3 linked regions of the Canis lupus familiaris genome follow. The protein of the gene in region 1 purifies or fractionates together with the protein of each later gene. This does not show direct contact. Links are inferred from orthologs where the notes say so. Each region holds a gene or a part of one and is shown on either strand. Other genes may lie near its edges.

What was found. The genes of interacting proteins can lie anywhere in the genome.
Region 2: the proteins of STRAP (region 1) and TGFBR1 purify together in Homo sapiens (affinity purification with western blotting; 3 studies listed by BioGRID and IntAct, with this or other methods). This does not show direct contact. The link is inferred for Canis lupus familiaris from reciprocal best matches to the Homo sapiens genes STRAP and TGFBR1.
Region 3: the proteins of STRAP (region 1) and SZRD1 purify together in Homo sapiens (co-immunoprecipitation; 3 studies listed by BioGRID and IntAct, counting the BioPlex papers as one, with this or other methods). This does not show direct contact. The link is inferred for Canis lupus familiaris from reciprocal best matches to the Homo sapiens genes STRAP and SZRD1.

Annotation. Positions count from the first base shown.
Region 1 is NC_049248.1:15,362,255-15,366,667, reverse strand, and holds part of STRAP (serine-threonine kinase receptor-associated protein), read right to left. Parts: intron 3,934-4,413; coding exon 3,837-3,933; intron 3,169-3,836; coding exon 3,031-3,168; intron 1,452-3,030; coding exon 1,315-1,451; intron 1-1,314. UniProt on the Homo sapiens protein: The SMN complex catalyzes the assembly of small nuclear ribonucleoproteins (snRNPs), the building blocks of the spliceosome, and thereby plays an important role in the splicing of cellular pre-mRNAs.
Region 2 is NC_049232.1:56,544,262-56,548,674, reverse strand, and holds part of TGFBR1 (TGF-beta receptor type-1), read right to left. Parts: intron 3,588-4,413; coding exon 3,431-3,587; intron 1,596-3,430; coding exon 1,471-1,595; intron 1-1,470. UniProt on the Homo sapiens protein: Transmembrane serine/threonine kinase forming with the TGF-beta type II serine/threonine kinase receptor, TGFBR2, the non-promiscuous receptor for the TGF-beta cytokines TGFB1, TGFB2 and TGFB3.
Region 3 is NC_049223.1:80,809,609-80,814,021, forward strand, and holds part of SZRD1 (SUZ domain-containing protein 1), read right to left. Parts: intron 4,300-4,413; coding exon 4,045-4,299; intron 2,757-4,044; coding exon 2,654-2,756; 3' UTR 1-2,653.

The DNA of each region.
Region 1 (4,413 bases):
TTTCTCTGTTTAAGTCCTATACTTATTTACGAATTTTTGATGATAATGCCTCATCACCTTAGTAGTTTTCAAAGTCTTTACTATTACCTAGACCAATGCTTCTATTCTGTCTCTGGGTCAACTCAAGGAACCTCATCTTCCCCATCTCTGTACAACCAGAGAATACCAAGAGAGTTTTATCGTGAGAGTAAAATTTTCATGAAAGTAGAAAGAATATGAGAGGTTTGTAATGAGAATAAGCTGGGTCCACGGTCTGGTGTTCACTAACTGTGATCTCAGATCTCAGGCAAATAATTTACTTCTTTTTCAAAAAATAAAAAACATGGCCAAAACATTCTGAAACTTTGAAAACTGACGTTAAATAAAAATAATAAAAAAAAAGTCTCTCATTTAAAAGTCATCTATATTCAAACAATATAGGGTGAACTATAAACAATTATAATAGATTCTATGTTTCATTCACCAAACTTCCATTTATCCAACCCAAATCTATCAGTTTTCCTAAAGAAACAAAACATATAGTTGTCTTTTGTTCTTTGTGTATAATTCTAACAAGCTTAATTTCATTGGGTAGTAAAGCAAGGCAGCTAGAAACAAGTAGCAGCTTACAGAAAAAGACTAAATACACTAGTTCAAAAAGAAATTCTGTGAAGGCTAAAAGTAGATACTGAGAACCATGATTATAAAATAGCTAGTCAATCAGATAAATGTAAAGTTAGGATGTAGATTAACTTCAAATTAATCTTACCTGCCCTTCCCCTTCCTTTATGAAGGACTACTATGAAAACGGAAGCAAAAGTCAGACTCCAAACAAAAAAAAAACCCCTACCAAACAAAAATCCCCTCCAATTCAGATCCCTAAGGTATCCCTATAATACACCATAACTGTTTTTTGTCTACACTATTCTCTATAGAGCTTAGAGATTTTTACATTGGCTAAAAGGGAAGCCAGGTAGATGAGCTACATATTAGCATTATACTTCAGAAAGAACAAATACTCTTACATCTGTTTAACATGATTTTGACGTAAGACTGCCTGCCTCCTCCTTCCCTCAAATAAATACACTGCACTACTGTATAGAATATCTGAATACAATGAACTTAAGTTAAAAGGAAAAGGTAAAATTGAGAGTTTAGCATGCTTTGTTTATAGCTCTATAAATACTTCTATCCAGAGTGGGAAAAAAATCCTTTTTCACTTGAAAATAGAAAGTTTTAGTTAGCTGAAAAATTTGTTAACTGAGGTATTACTGAAATCCAGCATTGATAAATGTAACCACATCATTTTAAGGGAGGAAAAAGAGAACAACCCACCTAATTCTTCTCCACTATTATAATCATACTTATAAAGTTTAAAGTCTTCACCACCTGCAACAAGAAATTCTTTCTCAGGATGAAGAGATGCAGAATTGATGGTTGCAGGAGCTTCAAAAGATTTAATTGGGTCCAAACTGAAAAATGATTTAAATAATATTGATGAATTTTCAATATTGCATAAACAATACCAGGAAAGAGTACTTTTAAACTGTTCCTAATTCCTGAAACCCAAGAAATAATTATATTTTCATTTAGTCAAACATAGTGATGTTAAAAAAACAACAACAACAACAAAAAAACCTCTAAATAATATTAGCAAAAGTCCAGAAGGATACTCTGCCCAAGTGGAATTCATTCCAGGAATACAAGTACACTTTGTACAATGAACGCTTCCCTAGAAATGACTGTGGTGGCTAATTCACAACAGTATGGTTAATATATCTGGATTTTTGCCCTGAAAGAAATTTAATTCTGTATTGTTTGATTTTTCCATGACAACTACACATTATCTTTGAGAAAATGTTTTATAGTAATTAACATAAAACACTATTTGTACATTATTCTCAACTGCTGAGAATTTATAAGCTTCTGAAACAAAACCTTCAATATCACAAAAATATAAAACTGCTAAAGATGGTTCCATCTTTGCTATCAAGCTTGAAAGAAAAACCAAATTTGAAACTATAGCTATATAATAAAAATCAATGCATACCAATAGTTTCACATGAATATCAGTGAGTTTTCACATCAGCTTTTTCAGAGAAATTGATACATAATTTAGTAAAACCTAAGTATTTTCAAACAATTTTGAATAGCTAACAACAGTTTAAAATAAAAAATCAAAATTACACTTATAGGGCCCTCGTAATTAAAAAAAATACCCACACAAATACATGCATATATAATGTTACACATGTATAATGAAGAAAAAATGTGTAACCAAGAAAAAAAACTAATGGAAGATACAACTACCATTAACATTCTGGCATCTATGGTTGAAGAACAGTGGGTAAATTTTTAAAAATTATATTTCCCAAATTTTCAACAAGGGCATTTACTATATTTACAGTCACAAAAAAATTACATCTTTTTTTTTTTTAAAGATTTTATTTATTTATTCATGAGAGACAGAGAGAGAGAGAGAGAGAGAGAGAGAGAGGCAGAGACACAGGCAGAGGGAGAAGTAGGCTCCATGCAGGGAGCCCAACATGGGACTCAATCCCAGGACTCCAGGATCATGCCCTGGGCCAAAGGCAGGCACTAAACCTCTGAGCCACCCAGGGATCCCCTACGTCTGTTTTTAAAAAACATTATTAGGTCTATACAAACTTTGGAATAGAAGAAAAAAAATCACTATTTCTCTAAAATGTTAAAGGGAAAATGAATAAGAGAATCAAGATCACAGTAGCTTTATACAGTAATGAACGTTAAGTATAATTCCAGTCTAGAGATCCTTTTAAGAAAAATATAATCAAAAAAAGAAAATTTAAAAGTTACTAAATTTTACCAATAAATCTCCCCTAAACACTGGAAATAATTAGATTAATTCCCTAGTGTATCAAATTCTTAAAATACACATTATTAGTGGTATGGAAACATTTTCCCCATATAATATGGTCAAGATTTGCCTTATTAAAGAGTTATATATTTTTCACTTCTGCCTTCCAATTTTTAAGTTACCAAAAAAAAAGGGAAGGTATTTCTTGGACATACCTTACTGCACTATGAAAAGCAATAGATCGTCCATAAGTTATTACCAAGATCTCTCCCTCAGGAATATATTCCATACTGCTAACAGACATATTAAAATTTAGAGATTTCACTTCTGTCATGGTAGCATGATCCCAAAGGCTGCAAAAGAAGAGGAAAATAAGGTGATAATTAGCTTATTTAAGAAAAAAGCTTAATTCCCAATTATATTTACAGATTAACCAATGAAAGCATAATCACAATTGTAGTAAAACCTCCTCCATTCCAACTCATAAATTATAGATGATATGGAGAAATTTGGGGTTCCTATACAATGTTAAATTACTTGGTATCTTGTTGGTAAAGTTAACTTATACTTAAAAATACCTCTCTTGGCAAAACTATGCTAAAAGTCATGTAAGGTTTTAATCTTAGCAATTTTAGTGTCACTCTAAATAACAGTTCTTAAATTCTGTATTTATAAATCTGATTGGGGTTTTTTCTCCACAGAAAAAAACATCAGGTGTCAGCACACAAAATTTCATAGAATTTCAGGAGTTTCATGGACCTCCTGTAGCCAGTGTGTCCACTACTTCAGGTCAAGAGCACATGCTTATAAAGATGTCAATAATTTTAATTCAGTGTCTTGTAGATTATGCTCTATGTTTATAACAGTAAATGGATAGCTCCAAGAAAATGTGACCTATGTACAACTTAACTTTCAATGTATAGAGATAATTCTTCCTACATACAGTTATGAGAAATATTTAAAATATAAGCACTAAGGTCAAATGTTTCAAACTTTAAATTACTAAAGAAAAATTACTTACCGGACAGTTTTATCATCAGCTGAAAGAATCTGTTTATCCTCACTGCACCATAGAGCTTTCTTAATACCAGAGGTGTGACCACTGATTTCCTTAGGTTCTTAAAATGAAACAATGTAGAATATATTTGTTAATATTTGGTTTTTTAAACTAAGCAATACTGGAACAATTAACTATGTGAAGAAAAAAGAAGTACATTTTAAATTAAGCTGCAACTTTTCAAAGCCCAACACAATGAAAACTTATGGTTTCCACAGAATACATTTAGTTTTTCTACACTGGATTAAAAATTTATCTGCATGACAAAGAACCCAAGAGCAATGCTGCTATATGTATCTGGGAGTGAATGCATTGCTCCCTCCAGGCTGTTTCTGCTTTCAGTAGCATAACTGTACCACACTGAAATAAAAGAAGCTCATCCAACATATCACTAACACTGGGACCCTCCTCCCAGCCTGTTGGTAGAAACAGGAAAAAAGAGGGAAGTAGAGGCTGACAGGAGAAAAGGAAAATAAAAAGCAATGCAGTAATTCCCAAGAATATTTCTACATTGAGAACAAAGCATCAAAAAAAAAGGGGG
Region 2 (4,413 bases), on another chromosome or scaffold:
AATTGTTTTTGAAGAATTTACTCAGCTAATGCCAGATCATTCTTTGTCCAGGAATAGCTGAGAGTCCTAGTTCAGGGTTCCATTAATAAATTAGCGAAGTGGAACAGGGCTTCTAGCTTGCTCTATCTCATCCACATCTGCATCAACAAGCATCAACAACCCATCTCTCTGAGTTGGTACTGGGCCCACACTCTGAAACTACATATCACTAGGGGATCAGCAAAGGCTATTTTAATGACGGTTAACTATGAGCTATGATGACTTGATTAACATTTTCACCTCATGTGCAAGAAATGATAGTTTTTAACCTGTGAGTGCTCACCCTCTCACTTGGTACAGGGGATATACACTCTACCATGGAGATGTAAATCCTACAAGCAAATCTGGGGTGCAAGTCCTTTACCTCTACTTGGATCTGTCCTCTTTGCTATATAATACAGAGACATGCTCTCCCTCTTATTGCCACATAAACCCAAGTCTCAACCAAGCCTGGGCCCCTAAGTATAAGAAACTATTCCGCAAGTAAATATTAAAAGTGCTCAATCTAAAACTAAATTTCAGCTAAAATAAACTTGTTTAAAAACTAGTGTAATGGTAATGTAACTGTATTCTGTATATGTAACTTCCAGCTAAGAAGTTGGAGAAAATAACACACTCTCAGGGGGGAAAATGAGTTTGACCCAGGTACATGCTGTAGAAACAGCTTCCTGGGTGGCCTCTCAAGCAGTCATCCATTATAAATAACTATATTCCAAGATAACAAGGGCTTGGTTTCTCATGTTTCCCAAGATTCAAATGGAAATAGAAAAAGAATACACTAGAATAAGCATGTCATATCATGTCATTTCCCCCCACTGCAAATTTTATCTCCATTATTTTCTTTGGCACTCTCAGTGATCACCTGGTGAATATAATTTCTGACTACTAATGTGTATAATTTCATTCAATGAAAAAAACCAAACAAACAAACAAACAAAAACACGACAGGGGTGCCTGGGTGGCTCAGTCAGTTAAGCATCTGCCTTCGGCTCCAGTCATGATCCCAGGGTCCTGGCATTGAACCCCGCATTGGGCTCCCTGATCAGTGAGGAGTCTTCTCCTTCTCCCACTCATCCTGCTTGTGATTGCTCTCTACCACCATCTCTCAGTGTCAAATAAATAAATAAAAATCGTAAAGGGAATCCCTGGGTGGTTCAGTGGCTTAGTGCCTGCCTTTGGCCCAGAGCGTGATCCTGGAGTCCCAGGATGGAGTCCCATGTCGGGCTTCTGCGTGGAGCCTGCTTCTCCCTCTGCCTGTGTCTCTGCCTCTGTGTGTGTGTGTGTGTGTGTGTGTGTGTGTGTGTGTGTCTCTCATGAATAAAAAAATAAAATCTTAAAAAAAAAAAATCTTAAAGAAAAAAAAAAAAAGCGGCTATCCTGGACCACCTTTTCTGTTCATGACAAACTGTTGGGAGAGGGGGAGAAATTTACCACCAATGGAACATCGTCGAGCTATTTCCCAGAATACTAAGCCCATTGCATAGATGTCGGCACGTTTGAAGGATTCAAAGTGTTTCATATTTATGGAATCATCTAGAACTTCGGGGGCCATATACCTAAAAAAGAAGTCAGCAATTTACTTTATGGAATAGTAGCCATACTACTTTTGAACTGTTTCACATATTTTCTTTTCCTACTGAGAATTTTTTTTATATATATTTTTTAAATTGGTATTAACTTTAAGACTTTTCTTCCCTTTTAGCATGGTTCTGCTTTTTAAAATGACTCATGCTTCTTATAGAAATTTTCTCAAAGTTCAAAAAGTACAAAGTGAAAAATCATTAATGCTTTGATGAACAACCTTTCAGGTATCTCTATTCATATATGGAGATACACACACACACACACACACACACACACACACACACAATATTATATAACTAAAATATTAGACTCAAGAAAAATATTAAATATCCACACTGCTTTGAAAATTAATGATGTCAACTAAATGCCATGAAAAGCTGAAACAGCAATTTCATGCTATCTTATCTGCCTTATGATCTTCATTTCCAATGAAAGACACCTATATAACAATCATGACTATTATAAATGTCTTAACATATACCACCCACTTTGTCAAATACTATGCAGGGATCATATATTTTAATCTAGAAGTCTTCTCACTAAAATAGGATGAAAAGGAAGGATGAGGACATAATCCAGGGAACAAAATAATAGATTAAAAAATGAATGCCAGTCCTCCTACTGATGCCTCATTGTAGGGTTTTGGAATTTTAAAAACCCTCCTGAAGTTACAGATCAGGATCCATGAAGAACTGTAGCAATCACTGTCTTGAATCCCCACATCAAGAGTTCTGAGAGTCCTCGTCAAATCCAGAAATCACAGATACAACTGAGATAGAATAAAGCTTGGCTCTATCCAAGGTGGAGGCAATAGTGTGAAGATACATTGTGGCAACATGCTGTGATATACACACTAAGGCCTTTGGGGTCAGAAAGGCCTAAATTCAAATCTCAGCTCTTCAGGTGAGGCTGACCTTTTTATTTAACATCTATGGGGCTGTTTCCTCTTCTGTGAAATGAAGGCAATGACACCTACCTAGTTATGTTCTTTAGAAAACTCATAGATTCAACAAATATTTACTAAGGACTTACTATGCATTAGGTGCTATAATGGATGCTGGGAATACAAGCCTGATCTCAAGCAGCTTGCAATCCAATGGAATATAAAGACAAGTAAATGGAGAGTTATAATGTGCTCAGTGCCTTAATGGCCCAGCTTCACAGCTTGCTATGAGAGCCCCTGGGAAGGGCGCCTCACAGTCCAGGAAGGGCTTCCTCTAGGAAAGGAAGGGTGACTATAAATCAGGGAAACAAGACAATAAAGCTTTTTGCAGCAAAAAAAAATAAAAAAATAAAAAAAATAAACCAGGGAAACAGCAGGACAAAGTCTGCTCTAGGATACAACACATGCAGAAATTCTAAGGAAGAAAGTATAGTTCCAGGAACTAAAAATAAGAAAATAGTTGGGCTAGCTACAGTACAGCATTTGAAGAGAGCATTAACTGAGAGAATGAATATATATATATATATATATATATATTAAGCAAGAACCAAGCATATATATATGTATGACCCATTAAAATGACTGGCACATACTGGGTACCCTATAAACATCAGCTCCTATTATTATTATAATTTTTCTGGAAGGGCCACGAATGATATTTTCTGGAAGGGCCACCTTTCATCAGCAGGCATCTTTAAAAGTCAGGTAACCTTGGCTTCAGAGCAGGCAAGACCATGAGATCTTCTACCTGTGGGCAATCTAATAAAGTACAGGTTTGAGTTTCAGAAGATAATCCACATAAATGAGAAGGAAATTAAAAAGAAGTTGAGCTCAGAAGATAATAAACACTATTTACAAGCATACCTTTTTGTTCCCACTCTGTGATTTGGAGCAATATCAATGGTATCTGTGGCTGAATCATGTCTCACTGCCAGTCCTAAGTCTGCAATACAGCAAGTTCCATTCTTCTTTACCAAGATATTCTTAGATTTCAAATCTCTATGAGCAATGGCTGGTTTCCCTAAAGAAACAAAAAGTAAATGCAATTGCTTAAAAAGTGATAGCAATCACAATTCTCCCCTTTAGGTTCAAAGCCTCTTCTCCTATCCCAGTGTCAAAGCATTTCAGCCCATAATACCTGGACAATTACTAAACAACCTCAAATGAATCATTATATCAAAAGTTGCTGAAATTATATTTATTCAAAGAAAATGGAGAAAATAAGATGGTGCTCAAAAAATGTAAGTCTACCAATTCAAAGATGGGGAGTTAAAGATGTTAGTTTGCTGACATCCTATGAATTATTTATGGAACTCTCATCATAGCCTGATATTTCAGTCCAAGAACCAAGCATGTACACCACTTCCTTTACTTACCAACTGTAATGTACTCAGTATTTAATTTATAATCTTTACTACTAACAGTAGACTCCCTGGAGCCCTCCTAAACTGCTGATAGGAATGTAAAATGGTGTAGTCACTTTGGAAAAAATAGTCACAGTCTGGTAGTGCCTCAGACCATTAGTTATTGTATAATCCAGTAATTCCACTGTATAAGAGAACTGAAAACATATACCCACACACAATAAAAGTGTACACCAATGTTCACAACAGCATTGTTCACAAAAGCCAAAAGTGGAAACAATGCAAATGCCCATCAACTGATGGACAAATGTGGTACATCCAAACAATGGGAGTATTAATCAGCCACTAAGAGGAACAAAATACTGAAACATGCTACAACATGGATGTACCCTGAAAACATGCCAAGAGAAAGAAGTCAGTCACAAAAGACCACATATGATACAATTCCATTTATAGGAAATGTCCAGAATAAGCAAATCTTTG
Region 3 (4,413 bases), on another chromosome or scaffold:
GGCTGACATCAGAGTAGTGGCTCATGGGAAGCGGTTAGCTGGAAGGTCTGAGGCCTGGCTCATGGGGTCAGGGAGGAGCTGGGGGAAAGGGGGACAGTACCATGAAGGCAGATAAACAGGCAGCAGCCTCAGGTTTCTGCCCCACCCCCACCCCCCCTGGGGTTTTCCAAGCCAAAGCCTGCAGCTTACTTAAAAGAAAAAAACAAAAAAAAAAAAAGAAGAAGAAGCACTTAAGGAAAGTCACAATCAAAAAAAAAAAAAAAAAAGAAAAAGAAAAAGAAAAAAAGAAAGAAAAAAAGAAAAAGAAAACAAAACAAAAAAACCCCACACACAAAATCCAAACCATTCTCCCATCAACCCTCCCACCTCCCCCCAACACATTTCCTTGTTTTCATTTCTTTCTCTTTAAAATTTTGCCTGTCACCTCTCCATCTGGGAAGCCAAGAGTACAACTGTTGATGGGTGGTAGCAGGCACAGTGGGCAAAGCCCCATCTTTGGCCAGAGGGAGGTGGGAACACCAGTCCCTACTACATCCTCAATCCACAGACACCCATCAGCCAGCCTTCCCTTCCACTCCCACTAGGGGAGAGGGGGCAAGAGCAGGTGGTCCCGATGGCTGAGCAATCAGTATTCCTGGCCATCCCACCTGGCCTACCTCTGTACCCTTCTCCAACTGAAAGGACAGTCTCATCTTGGGCCAGAAACTACTATTACATGAAGGCTAGACACTGTACATCTAGAAGGAGGAAACTTGGTCAGGGCAGTGGAACTATAAAGACAGCAGCCAATCTTCTTCCTTGGCCACTTCTGGGGGATCATCCCTCTTACAACAGCCTGTGGATACAACCCAACAGCCTGTGGCCTCTTTGTGACTGAAGCTCTGTTCCAGCTCTGCTCACGCACCATTTCCTGGCTGCTCATGGTTATAAGGCTATGCTGTGGACTAGCTGCTGATTCAACGGGCAGCTGGCCCTTCCTCCTCAGCGGGAGATGCAGTGGGACATGGCTTACTGGGCCTGACCTACATTCCCACAGGGCAAGGCTGAGAGCCAGGTAAACCAAAGGTGGAGTGAGCCTGCAAAACCTAGCTTGCCACCTTGGCCACCGCAAGCTGCCCTAATCACAAAATGTCCTATCACCCACTCCAAAATTCATCCGCTGAGTGGAGAGGCTACCTGGCTGGCTGAGGGATAAGGCGCAGTGCAATGGAAGAGACCAGAAAGCCTGAGAGGACCCAGTTATACAAACACACACATAGCTGCTCTAGGCAGCTGCCCTCTTAGCCTCTCCCACCTTAAAGAGCCAAAGCAAATCTCTAGGCTCTAGGGACAGAGGGGAAACTGCCTTCATTCCAGAGCCTTGCTCTGGAAAAATGGGTGAGGGGTGGCCTGGGTCTATGGTCTGTCACCACCAATCTTTGCAATGCACAGCTTGCCTTTTCCCACATGTATTCAGAATGGTCTGCTCCCAAGGTAGTGATTTCACAAAGGAAATATACTAGGCATGGTGCCATCAACAGAGATGGTGCTCCACAGACCCTTGAGAGTTCAAGCCTTGCTGGAGTGGGAAGATCTGTCCACCTTCCAAGCACACTGGGCAGGAGGTTCAGAGTCCTGGAACCACTTTCTCCTGGTTCTCCTCGGGCTAACAGCAAAACACTGAGCAAGTCTCACATTCCTTACTTCCGAGCCCGGAGTGCATCTCACTCCCTGCTCTCTTCTAGAAGGAGCAAGCCTGGCTGGCAGGGAACCACCCTGAGGGGTATGGGTAGGGGAAGTCTGTTCACTTTCCCTATCTCCCAAAATACTAGAGGTGGGGTTGGCATCCTCCCCAGGCTCTCTGAGCCTATAGAGCTAGCTCAGTCTCCAGGTAGGGCGAAGATGCCCTGGGACTTAGCTGGGGGAGGGAGGTATAGGCATGGGGTGCTCATCTGTCCTGGGGGCTGCAGAGCCCTGCCCCTTTTCTGGGCGGCAGTAGGAATACAGAAGCTAAGCTCACCAAAGTCCTATTGGTTAATGTTTCTGGTGAATTTCCCAGAAACATTTTTAAGTAGACTACCAAACTACCCTTTCTCAATTAAAAATTCATTAAACTGCTAAAACCCCTCCCATGCACTTTTTCTTGCAAATCAGATTATTTGTATAAACAAACAAAAGTAGGAAGGAGAAAAAAAAAAAAAGAAAGGACATTTTCAAATGGAACTTGCTTTTAAGTGATGAAGACATGCACTTGCGGGTGGGTGGACGGGAGTTCTCATCCGTATTTTGAAATCCCAAATTAATGAGCATGATAAACTGTTATTGCTGGCACTGGCTTTACCCCAAGTGGCCGAGTGACACTGTCTGACTCTCTACTCTGAGTCCTTCTTGGGTCCCCCCAACCCTCCCCTGACCCCCACCCTTTCCCTTTCCATTGACTTGGGACAGCCCTTGTAGACGTGCCAATCACAGTGGGAAGGGGGGGGAAGGAGGGAGGTCACAGTGCATGGGGTTCAAGGTCACAGTGGGCGGAGCAAAGGGGGTCACAGTGCAAGTAAGTCAGGTCGTTCCCTCTGCTCAAGTCCAGCTGTCTGCCACGGCAGTGCGACCCGTGGCGGACGACCCAAGAGGCGGTGATGGCGGCAGCGGTGGCGGCATCCTTTCCCGCACGCATTTATCTGCGCTGTTTGAAGCCCTGTGACCCATCTGGACCCAAAGGCTGTCTGATCACATTATTGGGCTGCCTGCTGTCCTCAGGTTGGGAGATCCTGGTTGGCCTGGAGGGAAGAAGATCAGAGGGAGGCCTGAAAAAGGACATACAAGAGGTCCCCAAATCTTTTTTTTTTTAACTTTTTTTTTTAAGATTTATTTTTTATTCATTCAGAGAGAGAGAGAGAGGCAGAGACACAAGCAGAGGGAGAAGCGGGCTCCATGCAGGAAGCCTGACGCAGGACTCGATCCAGGGTCTCCAGGATCATGCCCTGGGTTGCAGGCGGTGCTAAACCGCTGCGCCACCAGGGCTGCCCAAGGTCCCCAAATCTTAAAGCCAAATCTTAAGACTGCAGCTGGGGCAGAAGCCAAAGCAGCTATCAGCCAACTCTGGCTCCCTCTCTGACGAGCTGGGAAGCTCACGGGCGGGGGGGGGGGGGGGGGGGGGGGGGGGCCAGGAGTCTAGGCTCACCTCTTCCCCCGAATCTAGAGGTAGGGGGAGTGCTCAAGGGCCCACCCTGTCCTGAGGCAGTGACCCCGGCCAGCTCCACCTCCACGGCACTGTGTGGCACCGCTCCAGGTTGTCAAGCAGAGGTAAGACCCCAAACCTAGGGCTCAGCAGAGGGACCCAGCACCGGCCACTGCTGAGCCCTGCTTCTCTCCAAATCATGACTCATACTAATATGGAAGACTAAAAGGAAACAGATTTTTCTAGTCTGCCAAGTGAAGGCTTGGAGAACGGAAGTCTATCAGATTAACGAAGGGACAGGAAGAAGGTACATAGATTAAGTCCCAGAATAGCAAGCCCGAGGAGGCCTCTCAAAGTCAGAAAAAGGCTACTTTTACAAATACTGCTTTGGCAGAAGGTGACAAATTTACATAATGCAACCTGTAGGACTGCAGAGAAAAAAAAGTGCCGGGAATGAAAAAGGATTTAGAAAATTCACCAAACATCACAGAGAGCTATTATGAGACCCCGAAGATAACATCTAAGCAATTCTGCTGTGCCAGGCAGGGTTCTCAGGACACTACACTTATTCATTTGCAAAATGAGTTGACAGGGGAGGTACTATCGTTATCCCATTTCCCCCCCAGATGAGGCTATGAGGGTACGGAGAGGCTAGGCAGGCCCAAGTGGAAGGAAATGGCAGATTTCTGACTCAGTCTGTGACACGCAGAGGGGGCACACCAGTAAGCCAGACAGCAGACCCTGACCTTGCCCCCGGGCTCGGCTTAGCAGCTGGAGATGCGGCCTGCCTGCGTCTCACTACTCTGCTTGTCCCCAGGCTACTCCCCCTCTTCTACCTCAAAGTCGCCTGGCATAGTGGTCCGCGGTCAGCCCTGCCAGCCACTCACCGGTCGAGGATGGGTTTCTCTTGCTCCTCCTCAGGGCTGGCGCTGCCCAGGATCCGCTTCCGGGCCTCGGCGTACTCCGCCTCCCGCTGAGCTAGGGACTTGACAGGAAGGGCTGGCCTGCTGGTGGAGTTGGGGCTGCTGACCACACCGTTGCTGGTGGGTCTCTTGAGGATGCGGATCTGTGGAGGGGGCCCCGTGGGAAGGCTATCGTCCTGAATCACAATGGGCACTTTGGGAGGAGATTTGGATTTCCTGCTGACAAAGAGCAAACACAGCTTCACAAGTCCTATCCTTGACCACAGAGGCCCCATCCATGTACCTCACCCACCCCCCATCACTTTCCCCTCCTAAGTCTACTCATTATTCTCT